Canis lupus familiaris: one gene and its partners. The protein of the gene in region 1 interacts with the protein of each later gene in a pairwise test. Links are inferred from orthologs where the notes say so. Each region holds a gene or a part of one and is shown in the gene's direction. Other genes may lie near its edges. The genes, in order: TXLNA, HYPK, CCDC146, KRT20, WASHC3, DEUP1 and TCL1A.

Region 1 (4,124 bases):
GATGCTAGGCTTTAGGAATACAATTTAGCCAAGAGTTCTTGTAATGTTCATTGACTTGTAAGCAAATAATTTGAATATCTCATTACAAATGTTAAAGAGTTCTATCCAAAAAAAAAAAAAAAGGCTCTATCCAGACCTAGAGAGCTGGGACAGACTACAGAGCACTGGGAAGGGTCTGAAATGACCTTTGTGCTAGACCTCAAAATACTAGTTTTGCCAGAAGGGCATTTTGGAAACTGGACTAGCACCTGCAAAAAACTTGGAAATCCTGGAAATAGAGTATAGTGGGAGCAAAAAAGGCAAAGGGCATGGACAGAACTGACTGGAAACAAAAGCCAAGCCATTTACACATTAAATTCCAGGCACAGGGGTTGGTAGCTTTTATTCTATTATGTATAGACAGCTGAATATAGAACTGTGATCTCACATTTAGAGAAAGTTTGGGTTTTTCCCCTTGAGCCCATGGCAATTCCGATTTTGTCTGTAGAGGATGGGCCAGTCAGAGAAAATGTTCAGGAATTGGCTGAGGCCAAAGTTCTTGCAGAGCCCTGTCAACCCCTTCCAGAGAAGGACTCAAGCTGGTAACGCAGAGTTGGGGCGGGTGGGGGGAATAATTCCACCAAATTACCTTGACTCATCCTTTGAGAAAGTGCCATGGTGAATTTCTTCTGGGTACGAGTCAGGGTAATCCAGGAGGTAAAACGGAAGACTTTCTGATTTTGAATCCCTACTCACTACTCAATAGCGATGGGACAAGTTATTTAACTTTTGCCTTACTGTCCTCAGATGCAAATGGGAATAAAAAATAGTACTGAGCTTAGTAAATAGGCGGATTAAGCTAGTAGGTGGGAAAGCACACTGTAAGCAAAGAACTACTACTGTTATGAAAAGTTTTCATTTGAATACGGAAAATGAGGCCTGGGAAAGAAAAGAATGGCCCCTCAGCGAATTCGCGATGAAGTTAGAACTGGAATACAGGTCTTGATTCCCAGCCCAATGCTCTATCCCTTGTCATCAGAGTTCCTGGTCATAGATGTTCACAGCAGAGGGTTGAGGCTGGTAAGGGCGTGCGGGAAAGAACAGCCAGGCACAGGGCTCTGGACCTGAATCATAAATTCTGCACGACAGGAACCAGGCGGATTCCAGTATTCGTGCAGAATGACTAGCTCCTTTCAGACCTCCTGGGTATCCGCCTCCCAGGACTGAAGTCCTTTCTATTGCATCTTGGGAGTTGGGGGTCAGCCGCGGTGCATGGAGGGACATGTAGTCCTTTCCCTCCCCCTCCGCCTGCCCAACTCACCCGCCTCAAAGGCCGCCTCAGGCTGCCTTCGCTTCATCTTTCCCAGCAAGCCCCGCGAGAGCGCCGGCTATTGATTGGCTGTGGCAGGAGCAGGCGGCTTGGCCGGCAGCGGTTACCCAGGGTTTCCGGTGCGAGGCCAGAGCGGGCGAAGCCGTCAGGAGGTCGGCAGTGAGGTGCGTGTTGCGGAGGTTTGGGGGGAACAAGGCGACCAGCAGGTCGGTGGGCCTGAACACTCTCGGTCGGTGGAGGGAATCACGCCGATTCCGCGCGAGGGAGTGGGCTGGGGGGGGCAGGGCTGGTCCTGTGCGCATGCGCGGACGGGAGGCGCGCGGGGCGTGGGTGGCTGCGCGCGGGGGGGCCCACGTGGGGCTTGGGGGCCGGAGGAGGGATGGGAATCGAGCGTCCCGCCACGTCAGTCTCCGGCCCTGAGCCTATCCCGCGCTCGGCCTGTGGTAAGGGGGCTGTGTAGTGCCGGGAAGCGGCTTCGAGAAAAAGGAGGCCTCGCCTGCCGCGCTTCTGAAGCAGCGCCCCGAAAACCTGCCTGGGCGCGCCGTGCTCCTCCGACTGGCCAGAGAGAGAACCGTTGGCTCCCTCTGGTGAGGGACGGCCAGTGTGTCCTAAGAAGCTTTGTGCACCCGGGATTGGGATTTCGGATCCAGGCTGTGAAGAATTTTGAAGTCTGGAATATAGCGAGTGTGCTTGTTTCTATAGGATCTGTTTCCAGCCTAGCATTGCAAACCACAATGAAGAACCAAGACAAAAAGAACGGGGCTGCCAAGCAGTCGGGCAACACTTCCAACCCAAAAAGCAACCCGGGGCAAGCCGAAGTAGGACCAGAGGGAACCCAGGGGCGCCCCAGCCAGCCGGCTCCTGCGACAGAAGCTGAAGGTTCCTCCAGCCAGGCTCCAGGGAAGACTGAGGGTGTGTGCCATTTCTGCTTTCCAGCGGGCAGGGGGAGGAGTTTGTGGTGCGCCAGGATAGCTTCTGGAGTTCCAGGCCTAGGCCACTGTTTACCCAGGAAGGAGGAAATGTAGAATGAGAGGAGGACTGCCACCCGCAGATCCCTCTTTCCCCAGGGTGTTGATAGAGCCTCCCACTCAAAGCACAGGAGCAGAACTCTTAAGAGAAGGCTCTGACAGGGTTAAGTCAGGTGGCGCTCAGATGAGACACCCAACCAGCTAGCCCGGCTTAGAAATGCTGCATTCACCAGTGGGCAACTACTCTTCATGTTGGAGGCTTTCTTAGAACTTTTTTAATAGCAAGAAATGATTTTTGCAGGGAGGGGAAAGGGAGGGACTAGATGTTGAGCTCCAGGTACATGCCATCCCTATATGCTGGATGCTTTATTTCCTTGATTCCTTTCACATCTATAACAGACATGATTGGGCAATAGTGGGAAATAATCTTATTTTATGGGTAAATAAACTAAGGCTTAAAGAAAGTAGGCAACATTTAGCCCCAACCAGTAAGTTTGGGCCTGAAAAATCCCAGCAAATGGAATTAACCATCTTGTTTCTCATTTCTCATTCTGCCGCTCATCTTGCCCTGCCACAGGAGCACAAGCCAAAACTGCTCAGTCCGGGGCCCTCCGTGATGTCTCTGAGGAGCTGAGCCGCCAGTTGGAAGACATCCTGAGTACATACTGTGTGGACAACAATCAGGGGGGCCCAGGTGAGGATGGGGCACAGGGTGAGCCTGCTGAACCCGAAGATGCAGACAAGTCCCGGACCTATGCTTCAAGGAATGGGGAGCCTGAGCCAGAGACCCCAGTGGTCAATGGTGAGAAGGAGACCTCCAAGGGGGAGCCGGGCACAGATGAGATCCGGACCAGTGACGAGGTTGGAGACCGAGATCACCGAAGGCCACAGGAGAAGAAGAAAGCCAAGGGTCTGGGTGAGCAGAGGGCAGCTACTGGTGAGGTGGGGATGTTTGGGCTAACCTGCTGTCCCAGGATTCAGAGGAAATTACTTTCTGGAGCACCGAGTCACATTAGTTTGATCCAAGCAAGGGGTGTGGACCGTAGAACAGAGGGGTGTAGATGGGATCCTGTGTCAGCCAACACTATCTCTAACCTGCTCTGTAAACTTGGGCAAGACCTTTCTCCTTTCTGTTCCTTAGTTTTCGTTTCTCTACAGTAAGATTTGGACTAGCCCAGGGTTGAAAACACAAATAAGCCAAGTTAGACAGGGGACCCTAGGAGGACAAGACATTGCCTACTTCATCCAAAGGGGTGATTGCCATCTGGTCCCACCATGCTGATAGCATATAATACTACAGGCTAAGTGTAGCCAGCCTTTTTTTTTTTTTCCCCCCCTCATTCTTTTTTCTCCTTTTTTCCCCTTTGTTATTATGCAGTTAAGTGAAATCTCTCTGGATTTTTAACAATTGGCAACTGAAGAAAAAAAAAAAAAAAACAATTGACAACTAATATGCTGGGAGCCAAACAAAACTCGTGTGGGTTTTGGCCTACGTGCTAGTGCTTTGCAGTCTCCACACTGATCTTTCGAGCCTCTTGGGTTTGACACTTCAGGAGCCTGGTGCTGTGCTATGTACAGGAGCCCTCCAGGGAGACAGAAGGAAGCCCCTTTGACTGAAGCACAGTGAGAGAAAGTTATTGGGGGCAGGGGACTAGTGTGTATGTTAAAGAATCAGAGTTAAGTGATATTATACCTGTGTCTTAGTCCTTAATTCCCCACCCTCTGTTTGTCATCCTAATGGAAAGGGTTTTTTTTGTTTGTTTTTGGTTTTATTTTGTTTTGTTTTTTAAGATTTTATTTATTTACTCATGAGAAACACAGAGAGAGAGGCAGAGACACAGGCAGAG
Region 2 (4,194 bases), on another chromosome or scaffold:
TGATGCCAGCACTTAGCACTGCCAGAGAAGTATCTGGTGTTTGCGATTCCATTTTACTCAGGCCAGGCACGCACAGAGTGTGATTCTGTCCTTGAAAGATTACTGCAAAAAGGCAACAGAAGAAAGGTGGTAAGGAAAAAAAGAGCTAAGTATTTGGTATGAACAAAAGGTTTTAGCAAGGGGAGTCCAGGTCCAGTCCTTACCACTTTCTGGAGGACGGCTGGACAGTGCAGAGAAAGTCAGGTACATGATGTAGCAGCTGATGATAGAGGCTTGTAGAAGGCCAGAACGGGGTTGCTCTGGGGAGAATGGAGATCATTGCTTTTGTCTACAGGGTAGTAATTTCTGCTCATATCCATCTATACTTCTTTCACCCACCCTTTGGAGGAAGCAGACCATTGACTAAGATTAGGGAAGCTAACGAATTTTTCTATACTAAAGGCCTTCCAGATTTGGAATGCTGCAAGGCATGTACCCACTGAGGCGGATGCAGGGAGCGATGGAGAGGAAGGAGAGGAGGCCACAGAAACAAAGGTGCAGACTAAGCAGCGTCTTGTTGAGCAGGCAGCCAGCTGGGTGTGTGTAGTGGTGGAACAGGAGCACAGCTGCCACACCTGCCATGGTGTAGAATCCCAGGGCAGCCAGCAGTACAGCTAGGAACCAGCGGCAGTCTTGGGCTGCACCTGTCTGCCTAAGGGTGGGAGGTGGGCAGTGGCTTGGGGCTCCAACTCTTTACCCTTTAATAAACTATTCCCCCCCCTGCTCCCGGAACACTGGTGTGACTACTCATCCCACCTAGCCTACAGAGTCCTCATGTTTCTGAGCTTTTTGGCACTGTTCAGTGGGAAGTTAGGGGGCCACTGGCCTGTCATGCGTTTTGCCCAACCCTACTGGGTCTAGTAATGTCAGACAACCTTCCCAGGAAGAGCCTTTAGGATTAAGTGCTCCTTACCAGTTTTTGTTCCAGGAATGGGCAAAGGCTGTGATAAGCACCAACTGCAGCAGGATGAACGTGAACCCTCCACAGATACCAATGTAATGCCAGGCTGCAAGTAGGGGGCACCAGTGGGAAAATGTAGCTGACCATGTCATTACTCCTGGTTTTCTTCCTACCCTCTCTTTCTTAGAAAAGCTATTAGCTTACTCCTGCTGATTAGGATATGAGATGGAAGGTACCTGGGAAGAGATGCTCATCAGGGATGCAGAAGGCAACAGCACAGAGACCTAGCAGGAACAGCAGTTTGAGGATCCAGAAGCTGGTTAGGAGACAAAACAAGACTCAAGAAAAGGCAAAGCGGAGTGAACAGTGCCTATGGAAGAAGGCAAAGGAGAAAGCAAAACTATAGGAAAGGGAAGAGAAGAGACAACTAAGTATAGGAAAGGAGGAACCAGTCCCACGTGAGAAGGGCTGGAAATAGGCCCATCACAGCTTATTCCAAATTCTCTCAGATACCTAAATAATATCTGGACAGTGTTTCACAGTTGACAAAGGGTTTGCATATAATAACCCCACTGTTCTCTCCATTTTAGCAACTAGAAGTTCAAAGAGGGTAAGTATGTGGCTCATGGTCACACAGTAAGTATGGCAGAAGCAGGAGCTTAAAGCTGTTTTTGGAGTTTTTACACTGCTGTTACTTCATCTTGGAATTTCCTTTACTCAGCCTATGTCTACTTTTCCTCCCCAGTCTCACCCCACCCAAAGTATATATACACAAACCTGTTGTGGAGCTGTGCCCGCAGGCTGGAGGGGGAGTGGAGCTGGACTAGCAGCATAGCCTGCAGTAGGTGGAAGGTGGCAGTTCCTGCGCATACTCGGTACACAGCTCCAGAGCCACTGAGCACTGGGCAGTGAGTGTAGCCAAACAGATGGACACATAACCCTGAGGGCATCTGGATCTGGAGGAGGAGAGTGCATGTGAGAAATAGCAGGGCAATTCATGAATAGAGAGGTACCTGCTTCTCATGGTTATATCCATTCAGTTGTCCCCTACCCCCCAATCTGAATTTTTTGTCTATCTGAGGGTTTCACCTTTCACTCTTGGGTTGCAACCTGAATCCTCCCTCTTACCCCATGTGCCTTCCCCCAGATTCTTTCCATTACTGTCCTTGACAGCAGGAGGCAGCAGATTGCTGAGGACCCCAAGTGGAGGAGGATGTAGAACAGGCGGCTACAAGCAGACTCTGTGACAAGGGGCCATCTAGAATGGCAGCTGCAGGTACAGGGAACAGGCTCACAGCAGGACACCTGGGGATAGAGCAGCAGATGGAGATTTGCTGAGGAAAAGTTTAATGTATGTATTAGGTTAACCCATGAGGCTGAATTCCAAAATTTCCCTTTCGTTTTCTTCTCTCCTTTCACTCAGGAATTCTCAGAATCTGGTTCCAAGCTATTTAGGATTGCCTTCCACTGACATCAAGTAGAGCTTTCATCATAAGAGCTGATACAGGCTTGAGCAGACCTTCCTAAAAGCCTAAGTCACACCTGGCCTCTCACCTTTCTGTTAGACCTATAGACCTGGTACTGGGAAGTGGGACAAGAGGTTTAATTTCAGGAGCTAAGAAAAGGAAAGGCCTCAGAGGGGAAAGGAAGGCCTATCATCTTTATTGGCTCCCTGGGTTTTCTTCCCCAGCTTCAGCCACCATTCCCTTCCATTTTCTTAGTTCCTGCTCTAGGGACCTTTCAAGCCCCTTTGCCCAAGTATGCTCTCACCTGATAGAAGGGAGGATTCACCATGATATTGCTGATTCCACTGCGTTGTGCCAGGTGGAGGGAGGTGCTGGGTTCTGTAACTGCCTTGGCACCCACCATCCTTGTCCCAGGGATTAGGCCCAGGTCCGCCAGATGGAAGTAGGATGAGAAAGTAGCTTTTTTTTGTCCTCAGCCATGGGCTGCCACGGTGCTGGGGGGTGATCACCCAGTCTAAAGGAGTATGAGGAGGGACATAACGAAAGGAACACCAACCTCCCGGATGTGGTAAATGCAAATGTCTCTGTAAAGCTACTTTCTTTGCAGGGCCTTTGGGCCACACAGGCTGTTCTCCCCAGATTATGGAGCACTTTGCAAATCTGGCCTCTAGTGGATTAGCATCCTTAATTGGTTTAGGACTAGACGTCATCCATCCTGGTTGAACAGAATTGATGGGGGCGGGATGGATTGGAAGGGGTAGAATCTAGGTGAAGAGAAGCTAAGGATGTCGGTTGGTGAGGGCCGGAGTAATGACGGGGTAGCTGTGTGGGAGGGCCTTGCAGAAAACAACACTAGAACCCCTACAGGAAGTCTGAGAGGCAACCCTCCTTCCTGACTGAAGTTTCTAGAACCCAGAACATTAGTGAAGGTGTGGCCCGAGCCCAGCCCCGCCTCATCCTCTCCGGGCGGAAGTTTCAGGGCAGCTACCGGAAGTCTTGGTGAGGTGGGGCGGGGCCTGTGCAGCGGCACGGTGGGATCGATATGGCTACCGAGGGGGATGTGGAGCTGGAGTTGGAGACTGAGACCAGCGGCCCGGAGCGGCCTCCCGAGAAGCCACGGAAGCATGACAGCGGTGCGGCGGACCTGGAGCGAGTCACCGACTACGCGGAGGAGAAGGAGATCCAGAGTTCCAATTTGGAGACGGTGAGGTTGGCCGTGAGCGTGTCTGGGCGGGCTGATAGCGGAGGGGCCTCTCCGGTTCTAACTGGAAGCCCGGCTCCAGGACAGGGTCCCCATCCCGTTGGCGGGAGGAGGCAAGAGGGAAACCGTCACTGGAGCCCGCCGCTTGCGAAAGAGAGTTTGGTGGAGATTGTGTTTAAAGTGGACCTCACGTGCACAGAATTGAGTTAAACCTAGGCCTTGGTTCCTGATACACTCGTCATCATGAATAGACCCTCCCTGACACGCTTATTAGCTTTTTAGATTATTGGGACTTGCGGGTGACAGAACGGTAAGTAGGTGTTTTTCTCATAGGCCATGTCCGTCATCGGAGACAGACGGTCCCGGGAACAGAAAGCCAAACAGGAGCGGTAAGTCTGTGCGCACGGCCAGCCCTACAAGTTCCTCCCTTTTCCCCATACGAGAATAAAAGCCATTGTTAAGCCTTTGTACCTTGTACCGTTCTTCAACTCTGTCACCAGTATTTGCATATATAAGGTTTACAACCTTGTTGGAAAGGCCTCCTCCAGCTGCCTGTTGTAAAAAACTCCGAGGGGAGGGGAGGCGGA
Region 3 (3,500 bases), on another chromosome or scaffold:
AAGATGAACTCTGGGATAATGGCTATGCAGAGTGTGGGAAGAGCTTCAGGGTGCGAAGGACACTACTTTTTCAAACTACTGGCAGGTGTTTTCTCTGAGAGAGAGGGGAAAAAAGTGCTCTTATTTGGCTCTCGGCACAAAACAAATTATTTAGGCAGTATGTTTCCCAGGCCCTGGTCAGACCTGTAGGGCTGGAATTGGAAAATTCTTACTTTGTTTCTTTCCCACATTCTCCTCACATGGAGGGGTCTTTCCCCTGGCGTGATTACAAAGGACAGAGCTTTGCCTGTTTAGGGGGAAATCTGCATCAAAAATATTCAACTTAAAAAAAAAAAAAAAAAAAAACCCTAATAGGCCTGGCAAGTTCCATAGAATCACTGCAGAAACACATTCCCTGGCCCCCTGCCTGGGTACTTCTGGCCAGACCTCGGTTGGCAAGCCGGGCCCAAGAAACGGGTCTGCAGAAAATCAGATTATGGGGTCACTTCATTCATGCATGGGGAATGACATTTTTTTCCCACCCTCAGAAAGCCTTTGGGACTTGCAGAGATACTGTGACCAGCCAACTGCATGATCAGCTCAGAGCAGAGACACTAAACAACCCTCCCTCTCATATCCCCAGGAATACTTAAAGTGTTTAACTAGAGAGCAGACAGTAAATATCTATTGTCTTCTGGAATTCCGTAATGTTGATGTTTTGTGCCCAAATCCAGAGGGAATTACCATAAGTCTCAACTTCCTCTTAGCCTCTGCCTCTCCTTTTGGCCATAGTGGTGTTCAGCTGATACAGCGAGAAGAGGAGGTGTGCATCTTTTATGAAAAAATAAATATCCAAGAGAAGATGAAACTAAATGGAGAAATTGAAATACATGTCCTGGAAGAAAAGATCCGATTCCTGAAACTGAAGATTGCTGAGAAACAAAGACAAATTCACGTGACCCAGAAATTATTGCCAACCAAGAGGGCCCTGGATGCTGACTTAGCAGTGCTGCAAATTCAGGTGGGGGAAACATTCATCAGACGCTTCCTGGGGCCATTTGCCTCCCCTCACTTTATTGGTTTGAAGATCATATCAAGTTCTTACATGTAAACTGAGCCAGGCCCTTCCTGGTACCTGTACAAACCCATGAGTTACGTGTCTTCTTTAAAACTGCCTCTGCTCCAGGGCACCTGGGTGACTCAGTCGGTTGAGCGTCATACTCTTGATTTGGGCTCAAGTTATGATTTCAAGGTCATGAGGTCAAGCCCCACTAGGGCTCTGTGCTCAGTGGGGAGTCTACCTGAGATTCTTTCTCTCCCTCTGCCCCTCCCCCCCAGCTTGCTCTCTCTAAAATAGATAAATTAAAAAAAAAATTCTGCTGCTCCAGGTGGAATTTATGTTTCAGGAATGCAGGCTACAGATGGTTCCCCATGAAGCATTTTCTGCCTTCCTTGGAATTTAAGCCCTCCCGAATCTCAGCACTAGCTTCCTTATACCTCAAAACTTAATGAGTCCAGGCCTTCACTGCCACCAGCATAACTATGTTTTTCATGCTTGCTAGAAAGATCTTGGAGACCATCTCATTCTCTCATTTTTAGAACTCCTAACCTTAGAAGCCGAGATTGCTATTTGTTAATTAGCAATCACATATAATTACACTCCTTATTAATCCCTGTAGTTTCCCTGCCATTGAATAGCCTGGTCTCTGACACAGTCTTTTTAAATGTAGAATAAAGCCAAACAATTTAAACATGAAATAATAATATATAATAATATACATACACATATACATAAAAAATTATGAACATAAAACTACTTTCTTCACATGTAATTGTTTTTTTCTTAATGAAAATAGAAGAAAAAAATTAAATAAAGATTTGTGTCTTACACTTTTTTCCATTGACTCAACGTAGCAGGAACAAATTTTAACCTATAGTGTGTTTTCTAAAATGTCAGATTTGTTTTCAGTTTTTTTTCCTGATGATAAAATTAAAACATGTTCAGTTAATGAAGTTTTGAAAAAATACAAGCATTTAAAAAAATAAAATTCTATTCCTGTGATACAATCACTATTAAAATTATCAAAAATCTGGCAGAGAGCCTTCTGGTCTTTTTCAAGATATATAAGTAAACGGTTTTCATTAGCTCATGTGTAGACAGTTTTGAGTCCTGGTTTTGTTTTTTGGGGTTTTTTTTTTTTTCCATTTAATCTGTCATGGGATTTACATGACTATGGAACCAGATAACGGGTCTACTTTCATATTTTTATGCCATTTGAGTGTGTAAATGCTTTATCAGTGATGGGATCTTTCATTGTGCATAAATGTACCAAGGTTCTAATTCCAGTGTGTGTTTGTTTTTTAAGATTTTATTTACCTATTCATGAGAGACACACAAAGAGAGAGAGAGAGAGGTAGAGACACAGGCAGAGGGAGAAGCAGGCCCCATGCATGGAGCCTGATGTGGGACTCGATCCTGGGGCTCCAGGATTAGGCCCTGGGCTGAAGGCTACACTAAACCGCTGAGCCACCCGGGCTGCCCCATGTATGTTTGTTTTTAGTCATAAGTTCTCCTAATCACTTCTTTCATAAGTGTAGCCTGATGTGGATGGGTTGGCTGGCACTCCCAGGAGTCCCTCAGGTCTCCAAGGTCACCTCCCCAGGATTCCTGTGGGTCTGACTCCTACTACCAATGAGTGGTTCATATGAAGGATAGCCCCCCCCCCGCCACTGGCACACACACTTTCTGGTTCACTTCTATGCCCCATCAATGCAGATTCAGGACCAGCTCCTTCTTCAGCCTACCTGCACAGAACCATTCATGCAAGACCTTAGTGAACTGATTGACGATTTGGGGCAACAGCATGATGGGGTACATTATAGAAATGTGAAGAACCTCAAATTCAGTATCAGATACCCATACCCGCAGAGCCCTACGGGCAGCCACCCCATCACTGCTAACAGTGTCCACGTGTGTTGGCCCATGCAGCACCCTAGCCTGGCTCCATTTCACCTGCTTGCCTTTCCACCTTTCATCCTCTTCTCTCCGCAGCCCCACCACCCCACAGTGTCCCCCAGGCACTCCACACTTGTCTCGATTTTATAGAATAATTTGTCTCTCTCCAGCTCCTTCCCAAAACAGAGCCTCAGGGCCATCTGTGCCCATACTACACTATCAAGATGCCCAGCAGATCAAAAGGACTCTAAATTCATTAAGATCCACAAGAGAGGGATCCCTGGGTGGCGCAGCGGTTTGGCGCCTGCCTTTGGCCCAGGGCGTGATCCTGGAGACCCAGGATCGAATCCCACGTCAGGCTCCCGGTGCACGGAGCCTGCTTCTCCCTCTGCCTGTGTCTCTGCCTCTCTCTCTCTCTCCCTGTGTGACTATCATAAATAAATAAAAGTTTAAAAAAAAAAAAAAAAAAAAAAAAAAAAAGATCCACAAGAGAAAACTTCTCTCCCTGTTGTACAGGCACTTTGTGTGTGTTCATTGCAAATCAGGGCTTCCAGTCAATGGATAA
Region 4 (4,201 bases), on another chromosome or scaffold:
CAAAAAAAAAGGGATGCCTGGGTGCCTGAGCGGTTGGGTGTCTGCCTTTGGTTCAGGGCGTGATCCTAGTCTGGGGATCGAGTCCCGCATCAGGCTCCCTGTGAGGAGCTTGCTTCTCTCTCTGCCTATGTCTCTGCCTCTCTCTGTGTCTCTCATGAATAAATAAAGAAAATCTTTTTTTTTTTTTAAAGCATAAAACAGAGATTCTGAAGAGTGGTTATCCATACTTATAAATCGTTGTTATGCAAATCGAAACCACGATATCACCTCATTGTGTTACAGTGGTCATCATCAAAAACACAAGAGATAACAAATATTGATGAGGATGTGGACAAAAGGGAACCCTTGCACACTACTGGTGGGAATGTAAAATGGTGCAGCCACTATGGAAAATAATACGGAGGTTCCTCAAAAATTAAATATAGAATTACCATATGATCCAGCAAACCCACTTCTAGGTATATATCCAAAGGAGACAAAATCACTATCTCAAAAGTATCTGCACTCCTATGTTCATTGTGGCATTACTCACAACAGCCAAGATATAGAGACAACCTAAGATCCACAAAAGGATGACTGGATAAAATCACACACACACACACATACACACACACATTGAAATATTATTCAGTCACAAAAAAGGGGAGAACCCTGCCATTTGCAACAACATAGATAGATCCGGGGGGCATTAGGCTATGTGAAATAAGCCAGACAGAGAAAGACAAATACAGCATGATATCATTGACGTGTGGAATCTAAAGGAAAGAAAAAAAGTCAGACTTGTGGAAACAGTGGTTGCCAGGGCCTGGGGGGGTGTGGGGCATAGAGAAAATAGGGAGAGGTAAAAGGATAAAAACTTTCATCTTTAATATGAATAAGGTCTGAGGATCTAATGTAAAATGTGTGTAGAGTTGATAAGGCTGTACTTAGGAATTTACTAAAAGAATAGAACTTAAATGTTCTCCCCAAAAAGAAAAAGACAAATTTTAAAAGATTCTAAAACATTGTTCTTGATCACCAGTGTAACTTACTATTATGTACCCACATCTGTCTTTTTAGGTACCTAAATTATTCACAATGTTTGCAAATATTCTTCTTGTGTATATTAGGATGAAAAAAAAATCTGTCAAGGCAGGTGCAAAGGCTAAAAGAATACATCTTCCGTTTCCTTTTGTTGCCTCTGTTTAAAAAAAAGGAATCGCCCCTGAGAAAAGCCTCTAAGAAATGCCTCTAGTGATAATTTCTGGAATGAAACTAAACAGATCGCTGTACAAAGGGGAAAAAGAAAAAAACAAAGCAAGGCACGGTGGACAGTGGTGTCAATCCTAAAGCGAGATGTCAGCAGAAGAGGTCAGCAGAGGAGGCGTTTCTTTCCTACGAACTCTATAAAAGGTCAGCTCATCCACCACTGAGACTCAGACTCTGCTCCAGCCATCCAGAAGCTACAGGTGCTTCCTCCTAGAATCCCCAATGGAATTCAGTCGCAGAAACTTCCACAGAGGCTTGAGTTCCTCCCCACAGACCTCTGCACTCAGCATGAGTGGCTCCATGTATAGGAAGGAGGACATGCAGTACTTTGGGGCTGCACCCAGCGTCTATGGGGGAGCTGGAGGTCAGGGCATCCGCATCTCAACCTCCAGGCATATGAGGGGCTATGGGGGTGATCACACCAAAGGAAACCTGTTTGTTGGTAATGAGAAGACAACCATGCAGAACCTAAATGACCGCCTAGCAAGCTACCTAGCAAAAGTGCAGTCCCTGGAAAAGTCCAACTCCAAGCTTGAATCGCTGATCAAGGAGTGGTATAAAACAAACACGCCCAGCGCCAAGGACTACAGTGCATATTACAAACAAATGGAAGAGCTGCAAAAGCAGGTAAGGGATGACGCCTGTGTTTTCTACTCCACCTTTGAGCTGCAGGATATATATACCAAAAGGGCATATATGTTAGGTGGGTCCAAATGGATGTTATAAAGCAATTAGGCTGAAATGCTATATCTAAAAAAATGGTGCATTCTATCATCTACTTTTAGTGCTGGGGTAGCTGACTACATAATTGGATGACTGTACATATTTTTTTTCACTTTTTAAAATCTAATTACATAGAATATATGAAAATAAAATCCATATTTTTGTCAGTTTACCAGGACAAGTCTAAGTGAATAGTAAACTTTTTTTTTTCTGAGAAGAGCTGAAATTTCAATGATGATAAATCTGTTTTTTCACCCAATTCCCATTAACTTTTGAATTCCCAGTCAACTTAGAGATAATTCTTCCTTTAATTTATGTAAATGCTATAATATAAGTATTAAGATACTGTATCATAAATTTGAATGACAAAGTGATTCAGGGTGGAAATAAGGGGAAAGAATATAGCATTCTTTTTTTTTTTTTTTTTTAAGATTCTTTTATTGGGATGCCTGGGTGGCTCAGCGGTTGAGCGTTTACCTTTGGTTCAGGGTGTGATCCCCGGTCTGGGGATCGAGTCCCTCATTGGGCTTCCTTGCATGGAGCCTGCTTCTCCCTCTGCCTATATCTCCGCCTCTCTCTCTCTCTCTCTCTCTCTCTGTCTGTCTCTGTCTCTCATGAATAAATAAATAAAATATCTTTTAAAAAGATGTATTTATTTGAGAGAGACAGAGCAGGGGGATGGGGAGAGGAAAAAGAGAATTTCAAGCAGACTCCCTGGTGAGCACAGAGCCTTATGTGGGGCTCAATCCCAGGACCCTGAGATCATGACCTGAGTAGAAATCAAGAGTCAGCCACTTGACTGAGCCACCCAAGCACCTCAATGACGTCTAGATTTTTAAATGTCCTGCTTAATGATCTCATCATCATCATCACAAGTTCAGAAATCACTTCTACAGGAACAAAATGTTCTATTGCCCCCAATTCAAATTTGTTGCAATACCACAACCTACTCTCACAAAAGATGGAGCTCTGTTTTATCAGTTGTGTGCAATAAAGGATATGGACTTTGCTCCTAATTGAAGGGTTCAGATATGACAGGAGCACTTGCTTTGCTTTCAAATTCTTATCTAACCAAAGGGGGAAAATCCCATTCATTTTCATTTCTATTTTTTTAACATTCATATTCCTTTAAAGCAAAGGCCACCTCCTAACCAGGAAGTCTCTTTTTCTTGTGTTGTATTAGACGTCAGTGAAATTTAAACCAGACTCCACTGTAAGTTACTTTGGGGGTTTCAGGAACTACGGGGAGGTGAGGCAAAGGTGTCTAAATTATCTCTCTGCCAACAGGTCATTCTTCTCAGGCTCCCACTAAAAATGGTCAAAATCAGCAAACCATTCTCCCCTACCTGTCTCATGATTCATGTTTCTGAATCTACTTTGGATCATCCCAAACACATAGACACAGTCATCTGTTCCATTTGGGGCGGGGGGGGGGGGGCAGACTCAGTATAGGAAGGAAGGCAGCTCACTCCAGGACTAGATCTGTTGAAAGAGACATGTCACTGGGGCACCGGTTTAGCGCCGCCTTCAGCCCAGGGCGGGATCCTGGAGACCCCGGATGGTGTCCTATGTCAGGCTCCCTGCATGGAGCCTGCTTCTCCCTCTGCCTGTGTCTCTGCCTCTCTCTCTCTCTCTCTCACTCTCTCTCTCTCTCTCTCTCTCTGTCTGTCTCTCATGAATAAATAAATAAAATCTTTAAAAAATACATGTCACTATAACATCTTTTAAAAGCAGACGAGATCCTTATGTATCGTAGAGAATTCACCCATTAGGTGAATTCCCCCTTTTTTTTAAATCGAGGGCATACCCATCCTGACAGTTCCAGTGCTTAGCACAACTCTCACATAACAGGTGTCCATTCATTTAGCCAATATTTAGTACACACTAGCTGCTGGGTACCATGCTGGGCATTGAGGAATATCATGGTGAACATACGTGATTTAGGGGGAAACAGGCAGAGACAAAAGGAACATTTATCCCACACAGAGGGATAAATGCTAGCAAGGAGGGCTGGGCAGGGCAGTGAGAACATAGGCAGTTCATCCAGTTCTGCCTTGAGGAAATCACCGAGGCTTCCTTTAAGCAATGATGTCTAAGATGAGATGCGGAAAAGAAGTAGTTCACCAAATGAGGAGGGGTAACAAGAATATTCTAAGCAGGAACAACATCAAATGACAGGCACTCAGTAAGGTTTGATGGCTCAAGTAGAAAGAATTTTTCCTTTTTAAAA
Region 5 (4,287 bases), on another chromosome or scaffold:
TTTTATCTCCTCCAGTTCCCCACCTTGCTCACTCTGCTTCAGCCACACTGGCTTCCAGGCTGAGATGGCGCTTAGATACATCAGTGTGGGAAACTCCAGGGGTTGGGAAAATGGCAAGGGACTGACAAAGGAAAGACGAATGGCCAGAGAGGTGAGAGGGAAGTCATGAAAGAGTGAATCATGTCTCTCTCCTGCTCAGAATTGTTAACGGCCTCCAGCACCTACAGAAGAAACGTCGTGACATTTCCGTTTAGAATAAAGGTGTGTGTGTGTGGGGGGGAGGTATAAAATGCAGATTTCTAGGCTCACCCCCAGAGGTGCTTGTTTTTCTAAGGTTAGTCCCTGGAATGCATTTTAAGAAGTCCTGACAGCTCCCAAATAGCTGATACAGGTGGTCCACGGATCACACCTCAGAGAAACCTGGAGTCTACTATCAAATGTGGCACCAAAGGCCTTTAATGAGCTGTTCTACTTCTCCTGACTCCTTTCTTACCATTCTCCATTTCTGGAAATTTTTTTTTTTTTTCTCCAACAGAATCAAGCAGCTTCACGTCTTCCCTACATACCATACACACCCCAGGACTCTGTGCCTTTGTAGAAAAGTCCACCCCCAACTGTCTGTCTGCATCAACTCCACTCAAGTACCTGCTAAAAGGCTATCTTCTCCGGTTTCCTCAGATTTAGGAGCACCTGTTATCTGCGGTGTACCTACAAGTACGGGGCCACGCACACCCACGTGGGTGCAGATGCACAGCTTTCTCAGCGCTGTTAGCACCTCTGTCTAGATGCAGCACTTCTGGACTCCGTGTGTCTGCCCTCAACTAGAAGTTTTCTGAAGTGAGCCACTATTTCTGCATCTTTTCAGTGCTGGGTGTCCTGGTTGGTGCACAGAAAGGGCTCCAAGATTGGTTGGTGGCTGCCCTGGGTCCTACAGGTGAGGAGCTGCACGGTTAACATGGGAGCCAACATCTTCAAATCCCTGATGCCAAGTTCGGTCTCGGGGTCTGTGTGTTGTACGTTTCCGACGATCGAAGCGGCTGTCACCTCCGTTAGTGTACGCCTCACTTGTAGCGTCTGACTTTGTGTCTCACGTTCTAAAGCCCTAAGGAAACCAGTTCTGTCTCCTCCTTCGGGGCATAAAGAAACCCCTTCAGGGCAAGCAGGCTCAGTATCTGCATTCCCCACAGGACCGAGGCGAGCATCCGACACTTCCCAGGTATATACTTAAATGTATATACTTTTTATTACCGAACGACTTAGCTATTTACCCGACGGTGGAGGGAAGCAGGGGTAACCCCACTCGCGCCGCCCCCTTCTTAAGATCCCACAGCTAAAGCCGCGGTCTGGTCCTACCCCGCGCCTTGCGTCTGACGTCACAGCCCAGACTTGAACTACCAATCCCAGAATGCCGTGCAAAGAGGCGGGCTCTCCGGGAGCGGTCGCGTGATTGGCGGGCGGAGGTGTTTCCTTCCGGTGGGAAGGGCGCTGGGGGGTGGGCCCAGGGGGAGGTGTTGGCACATCGTTGCCGGGTTGGGCGGGCCGGGTTTGGGAGGGCTTTGTGGGCGAGCCTCTGGTCCCCCACCCGCTGACAACATGGATGAGGACGGGCTTCCTCTCATGGGGTCAGGCATAGACCTGACCAAGGTTTGTAAAAGGCCACGTTGCATTCAGGCGCCCTGGGAGGAGGATGGCCACCGGACGCTCGGTCCCAGGGACGCCCCATCTCTCCGTGTCCACGTCCGTCCTGACCCCCGGCCTCTCCGGTCCCGTCCTCGGTGGGGGGAAGCCCCACAGTTCACTGTAAAGATGCAGGGTCCTTCCTGACCCGTCCCAGCTGGTGGGGTGCCTTTCCCGGGGTCAGTCAGGGGCGCTTCCTGAGTGCGGACTCGCTACGCACGGGGTACGCGACGGCTACAGGGGCAGGTCGCGACCTCTCACCTCACCTCTTCTGTTTGATCCCCAAGTGTTCCGTGTGTCTGTGTGTCCTGCCGTTACCTCCTAAAGTTCGCACTTGTGAATCCAAAGCTCCCTCTTAAACTTTGCAGCTTCTGTCATCATCGGACACCACACTCCCACAGTTTAGGAAAACAAGTTCGTGACTATTTCTAGTACTTCGAGTAACTCCTATAGCATAGGAAAGAGGCCTGTTATTATTACATGGCAAGGAGTGTGTGTGTGTGTGTGTGTGTGTGTGCATAGATGCAGATGTCAGTGGGTTTGCATGGTGTACTTTGTCCTGTACAAACCATGTTTGTCTTTACATAACACAGGTGCCAGCTATTCAACAGAAAAGAACGGTGGCATTTCTAAACCAGTTTGTGGTGCACACTGTACAGTTCCTCAACCGCTTTTCTACAGTTTGTGAGGAGGTAGGTCCGGTGATAATGGTTTAATGGGTAGCTCAGGAACCATCTTACACTTTGAAAGGTGGCAAATGAGTAAAACAAGAATTGCAGTCTATGTGTTCATTTACCAGGACCTCTCGCTGTCCAGGTGTCCTGGTAACCTTCCTTACTTAAATCCTGCTCCATTCTGTACCATCAGTCTTGCACCCCACCTCTGCAGAATTAGTTTCTGGAGGCCTTCAGAGATAGTTTACTAAGTCTGTGACTAAAGAGAACAAAAAGGAATTCACAGTCAAAAACATTACTTTGAAATTTGTTTCTATTACCCCAAAGATTTACATTGTTTTCCCTGAAGATTTACATTTTTAAGTACACATTATTTTCAGTTTATATTAAAATTATCGGGGCACCTGGGTGGCTCAGTCTGTGATTAATCACTGCTGCTTTGGTTAAGCGCATCTGCCTTTGGTTAGATCAGGATCCAGGCACCTGGCTCCCTGAGCAGGGAGTCTGCTTCTCCCTCTACCCCTCCCCCTCCACTCATTCTTTCTATTAAATGAATAAATAAGTAAAATATTTTTTAAAAATACTATTTAACATTCCTTGATGCAAATGATGGTTGGGGAAGTAGCCTCAAAACATAACTTTAGTATCAAATATCCTTGATATCAAATATCAAATATTATGAAAATAATAAAAATACTTTTAGCAAATAACCAGTTAAGGATTAGGTACCAGGTTCAGGGACCCCTGTTTTTTCTTCAAAAGCCAAAAAAGAGAATGGGAAAGAAATGGAACCATGGGTTTAAATTGGGTTTAAGAAAGGAGAAGGAGGAATAAAATGAGATCATTCACAGGTGAGTCAATAAAAACAGTATTTAGTTCACTGTTTTATTTATAAGGTATAGCTTTAGCAAGTAGTTTTTGTTAGATGAATTCCTATTAGCAAAAATTTGCATGGAGACAGGGAAACTATTTTCACATGTATAGCATATGTTATTTTTGTCTAAATTAGCAATCTCTAGCCAAAATCTCTTCTGCCTTCTCACTAAAACAAAAGTGAAATATGATAATTGATAGAGTCAGGGACTCTGTTCCATGTATTTTATCGAACAGGCCCAGAAGTTAGGTGCTTGCTCCCATGAGTTTTATCGTATATTGCTGCCTCTCTAAATGGGATATAGAATCTACTGACCACAGAGCAGTAAACCAAAGATTACTGGATTTAGTCCCTCACTTTTTATACCAGGATAGGCAGGGTGGAGAGAGAGGGTTCAAGGATTGTTAGCAGAGAGGAGCAAATATTCCATCCCCATACTCCTTATCACCAGATTAAAAAAATAAAACAACAACCAGCAAACACACCTATGAAGGCAACTCAGTTAAACTGCCCTGAGACAGGGGCAGCCCCTTACTTTCCTAGTGTTTAGTAATTTTCACTGCCTGGATAGTGAATCCTATTTACTAAAGACTAGATCAAATATAACTAATCCTCTCCTGTTTATTTATTGCCTACGTATTAGCAAAACCACGTGATTCACTCTTTAACCCCCTTCTGTCTCTCTCTCTCTCAGCTTCCCCTCAACTGTTTTGAGTGTCTCACTAGTCCCTACTTCTTCTCTTCCTTAAACCCTAGAGAAAAGTTTGTTGACCAAAAACTCGTGAAGTTTGAAGGTAGTTTATTGCCACCTTCTTCTTATGGATGGTAGTCTAGGGTTGACTCTAACTCATTATTTGCAAATTCATATTTTAGCAGTTTGGATATTTATGTCAATTGTTGACTGGTGTGATGACACTAATATTTATTGTCTGCTTATTCTGTGCTAGGCATTTTACTAAGTGTTCTACATGTATTCAATCATCACAGCCCAGCCCTTTGAGAAAGGTCCAATTTTCTGTGTTTTAGAAACACAGAAATTGAGATGTAGAGAGATTTAAATCA
Region 6 (3,500 bases), on another chromosome or scaffold:
CCTTTCAAATAATAGCAAATAAGAAAAATTTAAGACTGATTCTGAAATAATGTTGGAGGAGAATATTAGATAAAATGTTCACAATATATTACTGAGTAGGATACAAAAGGGGACTGAAAAATAATGCGTGATACATTTTAATTGTATGAGAAACATATGTATTTATACACATGTACATAGAAAAAAGATAATTAATATACACAAAAATGCCAACAATGATTTTCTTCTGATGATGACATTATACTAGTATATACTCTGATATACTCTGTTTTCTACAGTTAACACATATATTTGATAGAAGAAAAGCAATCCAGTCTAGATAAAGTACCTAGGGAATATCACTATTCATTTATACCTTTTTTAAAGATCCCTTTATTTTCAATATTTCCCTCAGTTATTTTTCAATCACTACTTGGATTTTGTGTTGTGTGGTTTAGGTTTTTGATTGATGGAACCTTTTAAAAAGTTCTTTGGACATCTGAAATTGTACTCACTTACAGGTGGGTACATCGCTCAAAACACCAGACTTTACCAGATTAGGCAAGCAATAGCATGCTAGTGTCCTTGCCTGACTATCTTTCTTTTTCTTTTTTAATGAGTTTTCATTTACCAACTTCCCTGATGTAGAAGTGAACCTGCTTGTATTTCTCCAAACTTCCTGTAGAAATGGTACTTTTTATACTAGTTTCTGCTTTTCCCCTCTGGTATCCATATGTGCTAGCAATTCTATTTTGTAAATTAAGCAGCCAAGGAACAGATGTATTTGAGCTTTCTCTGGGTAGACTGTCACATTTAGTCATTTTGGATCACTTTTATGGAGAAGTTGCCCCCCTCTGACTTCTGCTGACATAGTTCCTTCCCATGATGCATAAGCAGGTTAGATGCGTTTCCCTTTTCTTTAAGGGGGTTCCAAGTTATTTTATATAAAAATCTTATCTACATATGCAAACCCAGTATTCTGCCAATTTTCAGTGTATAATTGAAATTCCATATTAATTGCTACCTCTTATTTTTTTCACTAAAACCATTTGCACTCAGTTAAATATGTAAATACTTATGGGATCTGAATGTATGAGAATTTGCAATTTCTGGAACAGAAGCTTTTCCAATAAACTAATAGTCTATCTCTGCAACCTACGATAGTCTAAATCAACGACAGAATCAGGACAGTTTACCAAGTTAAGTTTTTTTTTTTTTTTCACTTTAATTTGTAGAGTTGAATCCTCTTATTCACCTTCTACTAAAGAACTAGAAAGGAAAAGGAAAGAGCTGTTCTCAGTGACCCTAGATCAACAAAATCATGAAAAAGAATTGAATAAGGTATGGAAAATAATGCGCTTCATCCTTTCAGGCAGATCTGAAGTCTCTGAACACAAAGGGAAGAGGAAAACCGTCCTTCACATTCCCTTCTTTTTCCTTCTGTATTTTCCCCTAAGAGAATAACCTACCAGGCTGCTAATTCTTACATTTTTCTGCACAGTGCTATAAAAGACACAAACCTTCCATCCTCATTGTGCCTCTGGGAAACTGTGGCTCCATCACAGGTAGCTTACAGCAAGAAGTATGAGAGCCCAGACTCAGGCATCCATCTGTCTAGTAGGTACATAAGCTTGGGGAAGTGGCCTGTGCCAGATGCTAGGGTTCCTCATTTCTAGGATGGGGATGGGATCCTAAGCACCTGCCTCATACAATTCTGATGAGGCTTAAAGGGGTGAATAATGACTTTGCTACCTAAATAGCACTCCCCATGCGCCAGGAGGGGCTCTAAGGGCCTAACAAACCTCAGCTCATTGATTCTTCAAACCACTTTAGGAGGTAGGTACTAATACCATCTTTTACGTTTGAGGACAGTCAAGCACAGAAAAGTTAGGTAATTTTCCCCATATTACACAGCAACCAGGCAGATTGATCATATTTGAATTCAGGCAATCTGACTCCAGAGTCCATACTCTTCCCTTAGGTTAAAATCCATTTAAAAAACGCACATCAGGGATCCCTGGGTGGCGCAGCGGTTTGGCGCCTGCCTTTGGCTCAGGGCGTGATCCTGGAGACCCGGGATCGAATCCCACGTCGGCTCCCGGTGCGTGGAGCCTGCTTCTCCCTCTGCCTCTCTCTCTCTCTCTCTCTCTCTGTGACTATCATAAATAAATTAAGAAAAAAAATTAAAAAAAAATAAAAATAAAAACGCACATCAGATGCTTAGAGCAGGGCCTGCCTAGCTCAGATGAAGCACCCAACAAGGGAAGGCTGCCACTGTTAATGGTTGCACCCACCTTTTGTCACTGAACACCTAACTGGTGCCAAGTAATCTGCCAGGAGCTGGGAATACAAGCATGGATAAGGCCTGGGCACTGTCCTCAAAGGCCGTGTGGTTCTCAACTCTCTACCACAAGTATATTCTCTTCTCCCTGTAGCAAAATCTAGTTGGAGTTTCCTTTCCATGAGCTTATCATGGCTTCTACTCATGTCTCTGGTCTTTAGGTTTGAGGACCACACCTAGATATTCAATGTTATATGATCTAAACAGTTGTTAAAAGTAGGGAAAACCTGGGCATGGCTTCGAATCATCATTTATCCCAGCACAGAGCCTGACACACAAAAGTGAAAATAAATATTTGGAGAACAAATGAATTAATATCAAGGTTATGATCTCCCATACCTGAAGAGGCTCATAAATTTAGTTGTCGTGTGTATAAATTCAACATTTATTGCACATCTAGTATGACTATATCTATTCTGCTTATTTCTGTAGGAAATACAGTGACACAAAAGACAAATCCTGTCTCCCAAAGAGTTGACTGTCAGGTAGCTAGTAAGTGTAGAAAAGGTATTATGAATTAATGATCATTTTCCTTATATTTTTGCTTAATTCCATGAAACTGATTTTACTATTTAAACATAGAATTTTTTTAAAAACTGTTCTTTATTGGTGTCTGCAATGAACGCATTATGATAAAAAGACTGATTAAAGCCACCTAAAGTATATTTATACCGTTCTTAACCTCATAGACTTGATAACACTTTGAATAACAAGGAATCTACTGACACTGCACAGTTGTGCTCTGAAGGAAGAGAACACTAGGCACAAATTCTCTTCATAGGCTCTTGGAGACCTCTAGATAATGCACTGCTGTGCAGGAAAGGTAACAAATGAATTGTGTATAAATAGCTATAGCTCCCAGGAAGTGTTTGTGGAGAGCATTTCTATTCTCTTGTAATAAAAGCAACAAGAGCCATGTATTATGAATCTTGCAAGTGTTTTATTTCTCTTTTTTCAGTGTAGAACTATTTTTGTCATGTATTCCGTGATGAAATTGACATTTTTAATTAATAAAGCCAAAAGTCATTTAGAGCTCAGTAAATTAATCTCATTTAGAGGGAAGCTTTGCAGGAGAACATGTTTTAATATCTAAATGCTCTGAAAAAAATAAAAATAGTTTACTCCTTTTTCATGATAGTATATTCATCTTTTTTACATTTTGAAAGTTCCATTTTAAGAG
Region 7 (3,970 bases), on another chromosome or scaffold:
TTGTCTCCTCTTTTTGTGTTCCTGGTAAATCCAATTATATATTTATCTCCATTACTGTAGGCCACCTCAGCACTTTCTTGGGAATTAGGTTGTTTGGAGTGGGCAGAGCAGCACATACATACCTTTGCTGTCAGAGGATCAGGGTTAAGCTCATTTTCATTTCTGTGATATCTCGAAAGATCACAGAGTATTTTCTTAGTGCCTGGGCAGAGAGTCAGGAAGGAGCTGGAAGGTGAAGCACCACACTGCAGCCAGGGGTGATGCTTGAGCAACGAGGCCGGGCCTCGCTTTACATGTTTCTCATTGTACTTTATTTTCTTAATTGCCTTAATGGGCATGCGGTGTACTGCAAAATGAAGTGACATTGTTTTCCTTGTTTGCTGTAATTCACAGAGAGCCGGTTTGATCATGAAACCCAGGGACTTTTCAATTCCATTGATCTTGGGGCGGAGAGAAGGGATTCTTTTCAAGCATTCATTTTGAAGGATGTGCTCAGCAATGAATTCAAAGCCTATAAAGGGGAAAAAAAAACCCATGTTTCTTCACCATCGTGTTTCACAATAGCTATTAGATGACCACACCATCATCAAAGCCGTGGAAAATGTGTTTGCGGAGGGGGGTGGGGGTGAGTGGGGTGTCGGGGCTTCATGAGTAGCACTTGGCCAAGGAGACCGAGTCGGACACCCCATCCAGAGGCTGAAGGGGATGCTTGGACCTGGGAGGGTCCAGGCTTCGTTCAGGCTCGCATGATCCGGGAAGATGTGCAGGGGGGCCCGGCTCTGGGTTGCCTGGCATCGACTGTGAGTTCCCAGCAGCGGCCTGGCGTCCCGGTCTCTAGTGGGACGTGAGCAGCCACACACACGCGGTGGCGGGCTCGGACAGTGGGGTCTGGGCGCCCCGGAGAGCCGAGAGGCCTTTGGCACGGACAAGGGGGTGGCTCCCCAGCAGCAGCGGGGAGCGGGGAGGGGGGGACAGCCGGAGCCCAGGCCTGGCCAGGGCGCCCCCCTGCAGGTCCAGCTGCAGACCCGCCCGCGGCCCCGCCCCTCCCCGCCCCCCCGGCCCCTCCCACCCCGCCGCCCGGGGGCGCCCGCGCGCACCGCGACCCACCCGACCCCGCGCTGCAGGGGCTCCCGCGCTGCAGAGGCTCCCGCGCCCGTGCCCCGGGGCGCCATGGGCGAGCTCCCGTTCTTCAGGGCGCACGCGGCCTTGCACCCGGACCACCTGTGGATCTGGGAGACGTCCGTGTACGTGGACGAGAACCAGCGCACCTGGCTGCCCGTAACCATCGAGGTACAGCCGCCCCGGGGCGGGCCGGGCGCGCGGCGTGGGCATCCGGGGTGGGACCACCTGCCCCGACTCCCAGGGGCGGGCGGGGGGGTGGGGGGCAGCGGAGCCTGCTTCACCCGGAACGCAGCGGTGCAGACGCCGAATTAGGAACAAAGATAAAAAAAAAATATTATGGTAGCTCTGCAGGATGTGAGAGGCCTGGAATCCCAGGTCCCCACCACCGTGTCTCTTGGCATTTAAATCTCTGGTTAGGGCACAGGACACCAAGACCACAAAGTGGAGGTTTTTGCATTGTCCTCATAGATCCTGCGTGAAACATACCCCTAGCCCAATGTGGGGCAGGCTTTGTGTCCATGTGATTGAAAGGGCCTGTTTTCTTAATATGTAAAGTTTTTTTTTTTTTAATTTTTATTTATTTATGATAGTAACAGAGGGAGAGAGAGAGAGAGGCAGAGACACAGGCAGAGGGAGAAGCAGGCTCCATGCACCGAGAGCCCGACATGGGATTCGATCCGGGGTCCCCAGGATCGCGCCCTGGGCCAAAGGCAGGCGCCAAACCGCGGCGCCACCCAGGGATCCCTGTAAAGTTTTTTTTTAAGATTTTATTTATTTATTCACAAAAGACAGAGAGAGAGAGGCAGAGGGAGAAGCAGGCTCCATGCAGGGAGCCCTACATGGGACTCGATTCCGGGACTCCAGGATCACACCCTGGGCTGCAGGCCGTGCTAAACCGCTGAGCCACCGGGGCTGCCCTTAATATGTAAAGATTGACTTAAAACCAATAAGAAGGGATCCCTGGGTGGCTCAGCGGTTTAGCACCTGCCTTTGGCCCGGGGCGCGATCCTGGAGTCCCGGAATCGAATCCCACGTCGGGCTCCCGGTGCATGAAGCCTGCTTCTCCCTCTGCCTGTGTCTCTGCCTCTCTCTCTCTCTCTGTGTGACTATCATAAATAAATTTAAAAAAAAAATAAAAAAAAATAAGAAAAAAATGAACACGCAGACTAAAAGTGGTCTAGAGGCTCTAGAAAACTATAAACGAACACAGCAAGAATGGTGATTTCCACTCATATCTTGCAGGATGATCTGAATTATTTAACAATTCTAATTTATCTCATAGATGGGAAATTAAAAACAAAAAACAAATTAAAAACAAAAAACAAAAAATGATTTCCACTTTGGAAAAGTAGTTCTTGAGCAGACACGAATGCCTAGTTTATAGACCCAGCCTGCTTTCCAGGCTATGAGGTTTTGTGGGGAATGTGATAAAATCCTGCTACTCAGCAAGCTGATGCTTGCTGAGGGGTGCAGAACAATAAAATAATTGAAGCTGGTGGTAAGTTGTGTAAGGATGAGAGGCAGTAACGAGTGGCGTGGGGTCTACAGGCAAGACCCCGTCAGAGAATTAATTTGCATTTGTTTGTCATGCTTTTGTCCAATCATTTTATTTGAAACCTTTGTAAGTCTCACTTTTAGATATGCGGGCCTCATGTGTATTTCATAGAGCTGGATTTTGCAGAAATTTGTCCCTGTAGATAAAAAGTTGTGCAGAAACCTATCTAAGGAAGGGTGTGAGCCGCGTGTAGATCTCAGCGAGAATGTTCCAGGCAGAGGACCACAGATGCAAGAGATTACTGGGGATGTGGCATGTCCTGGAAAGAGCAAGAAGGCCTTTGTGGGAGGTGGAGGAACAGGGTGGGAGGTGGAGGACTGAAGAGATGAGGGAGGCACGGGCCCACATTAGTGGGTCTGTGGACCATGGTAAAGGCTGCAGTTTCTTCTGCCCACAATGAGAAGCCACTGGAGGGTGTCAAACAGGAGGTGACATGATTTTTAGACGCACACCCTGGCTGCTGTGCTGTGAGCTGATCGTGGGGCACATGACCAACGAGGTGGCAGGTTAGCTTACTGCAGTAGAGGGGCACTGGTGGAGATGGGGAAAAGTGGTCTCTCACCTGATTGTGGGTGCTGGGGAAATTTGTTTCAATGGGGCATTTGTGGGCACCTGGCTGGCTCAGTCGGTGGGGCAAGCGACTCCTGATCTCAGGGTTGTGGGTTCAAGCCCCGTGTTGGGTGTAGAGATTACTTAAAAAAAATTTTTTTTTAATGAATAAATAAAAGGGGCTGGGCTCTGTGACAAAATAAAGAAGAATCAAAGAAACTGCAGCTAAGGAAGCTCAGGGACGAATGTTCAGTTTGTCAGGAAGACGTGGGCCTGGTGTGGCCCCGTCTGGGTGTCTAGACTCATGTAAGTGCCGGTCATCTCCGCCTGGCCCGATGCCTGAGAGGGGCATGCATGGCGCAAGGGGTGAAGTTGCTGGGAAGAGTGATCGCCAGCATTTCAGATGTCAGCTGGGCCGTGAGGGTGGCAGGAAGGACCCTGGGTATTTGGGTGCTGGGGAGCCTGGGCCCTGAAGGCATGCCCTGGTCTTCCCTTCCCTTCAGACGGAGAGCAGCCTCCAGGTACTCATGCGTCAGGAAGATGTCCCCCTAGGGGAGGCCATGTGCCCCAGCCTGCTAGCCCCATGCCTGCTGCCTTCCATGTGGCAGCTCTACCCTGGAAGAAGATACCGAGGCTCAGACTCCAGTTTCTGGCGCATAGTGTACCACATTGAGGCAAGTGTGTCCTCCTCCTGGACACCGTCGAGTCATCTTGGGTGGGCCTGTCCTGTCCTCCTCGCCTCCC

What was found.
Region 2: the proteins of TXLNA (region 1) and HYPK interact in binary tests that used the Homo sapiens proteins (3 or more experiments, as listed by UniProt). The two-hybrid records come from large-scale screens. The link is inferred for Canis lupus familiaris from reciprocal best matches to the Homo sapiens genes TXLNA and HYPK.
Region 3: the proteins of TXLNA (region 1) and CCDC146 interact in binary tests that used the Homo sapiens proteins (3 or more experiments, as listed by UniProt). The link is inferred for Canis lupus familiaris from reciprocal best matches to the Homo sapiens genes TXLNA and CCDC146.
Region 4: the proteins of TXLNA (region 1) and KRT20 interact in binary tests that used the Homo sapiens proteins (3 or more experiments, as listed by UniProt). The two-hybrid records come from large-scale screens. The link is inferred for Canis lupus familiaris from reciprocal best matches to the Homo sapiens genes TXLNA and KRT20.
Region 5: the proteins of TXLNA (region 1) and WASHC3 interact in binary tests that used the Homo sapiens proteins (3 or more experiments, as listed by UniProt). The two-hybrid records come from large-scale screens. The link is inferred for Canis lupus familiaris from reciprocal best matches to the Homo sapiens genes TXLNA and WASHC3.
Region 6: the proteins of TXLNA (region 1) and DEUP1 interact in binary tests that used the Homo sapiens proteins (3 or more experiments, as listed by UniProt). The two-hybrid records come from large-scale screens. The link is inferred for Canis lupus familiaris from reciprocal best matches to the Homo sapiens genes TXLNA and DEUP1.
Region 7: the proteins of TXLNA (region 1) and TCL1A interact in binary tests that used the Homo sapiens proteins (3 or more experiments, as listed by UniProt). The two-hybrid records come from large-scale screens. The link is inferred for Canis lupus familiaris from reciprocal best matches to the Homo sapiens genes TXLNA and TCL1A.

The regions. Positions count from the first base shown.
Region 1 is NC_049223.1:68,417,954-68,422,077, reverse strand, and holds the start of TXLNA (alpha-taxilin), read left to right. Parts: upstream 1-1,324; 5' UTR 1,325-1,473; intron 1,474-2,011; 5' UTR 2,012-2,043; coding exon 2,044-2,221; intron 2,222-2,854; coding exon 2,855-3,193; intron 3,194-4,124. UniProt on the Homo sapiens protein: May be involved in intracellular vesicle traffic and potentially in calcium-dependent exocytosis in neuroendocrine cells.
Region 2 is NC_049251.1:10,827,206-10,831,399, forward strand, and holds the start of HYPK (huntingtin-interacting protein K), read left to right. Parts: upstream 1-1,394; 5' UTR 1,395-1,717; coding exon of another isoform or gene 1,718-1,896; 5' UTR 1,897-2,068; coding exon of another isoform or gene 2,069-2,245; 5' UTR 2,246-2,710; coding exon of another isoform or gene 2,711-2,809; 5' UTR 2,810-3,448; coding exon 3,449-3,610; intron 3,611-3,940; coding exon 3,941-3,996; intron 3,997-4,194. Other genes in the region: SERINC4 (serine incorporator 4), read right to left, coding at 1-102, 204-299, 480-691, 953-1,046, 1,177-1,256, 1,718-1,896, 2,069-2,245, 2,711-2,809. UniProt on the Homo sapiens protein: Component of several N-terminal acetyltransferase complexes. Inhibits the N-terminal acetylation activity of the N-terminal acetyltransferase NAA10-NAA15 complex (also called the NatA complex).
Region 3 is NC_049239.1:17,673,170-17,676,669, forward strand, and holds part of CCDC146 (coiled-coil domain-containing protein 146), read left to right. Parts: intron 1-771; coding exon 772-1,000; intron 1,001-3,500. UniProt on the Homo sapiens protein: Essential for sperm flagellum biogenesis and male fertility.
Region 4 is NC_049230.1:21,757,231-21,761,431, forward strand, and holds the start of KRT20 (keratin, type I cytoskeletal 20), read left to right. Parts: upstream 1-1,401; 5' UTR 1,402-1,470; coding exon 1,471-1,875; intron 1,876-4,201. UniProt on the Homo sapiens protein: Plays a significant role in maintaining keratin filament organization in intestinal epithelia. When phosphorylated, plays a role in the secretion of mucin in the small intestine.
Region 5 is NC_049236.1:41,205,656-41,209,942, reverse strand, and holds the start of WASHC3 (WASH complex subunit 3), read left to right. Parts: upstream 1-1,487; 5' UTR 1,488-1,593; coding exon 1,594-1,644; exon of another isoform or gene 1,645-1,879; intron 1,880-2,270; coding exon 2,271-2,369; intron 2,370-4,287. UniProt on the Homo sapiens protein: Acts as a component of the WASH core complex that functions as a nucleation-promoting factor (NPF) at the surface of endosomes, where it recruits and activates the Arp2/3 complex to induce actin polymerization, playing a key role in the fission of tubules that serve as transport intermediates during endosome sorting.
Region 6 is NC_049242.1:7,364,103-7,367,602, reverse strand, and holds part of DEUP1 (deuterosome assembly protein 1), read left to right. Parts: intron 1-1,214; coding exon 1,215-1,320; intron 1,321-3,500. UniProt on the Homo sapiens protein: Key structural component of the deuterosome, a structure that promotes de novo centriole amplification in multiciliated cells.
Region 7 is NC_049229.1:64,861,852-64,865,821, reverse strand, and holds the start of TCL1A (T-cell leukemia/lymphoma protein 1A), read left to right. Parts: upstream 1-1,170; coding exon 1,171-1,290; intron 1,291-3,729; coding exon 3,730-3,900; intron 3,901-3,970. UniProt on the Homo sapiens protein: Enhances the phosphorylation and activation of AKT1, AKT2 and AKT3. Promotes nuclear translocation of AKT1. Enhances cell proliferation, stabilizes mitochondrial membrane potential and promotes cell survival.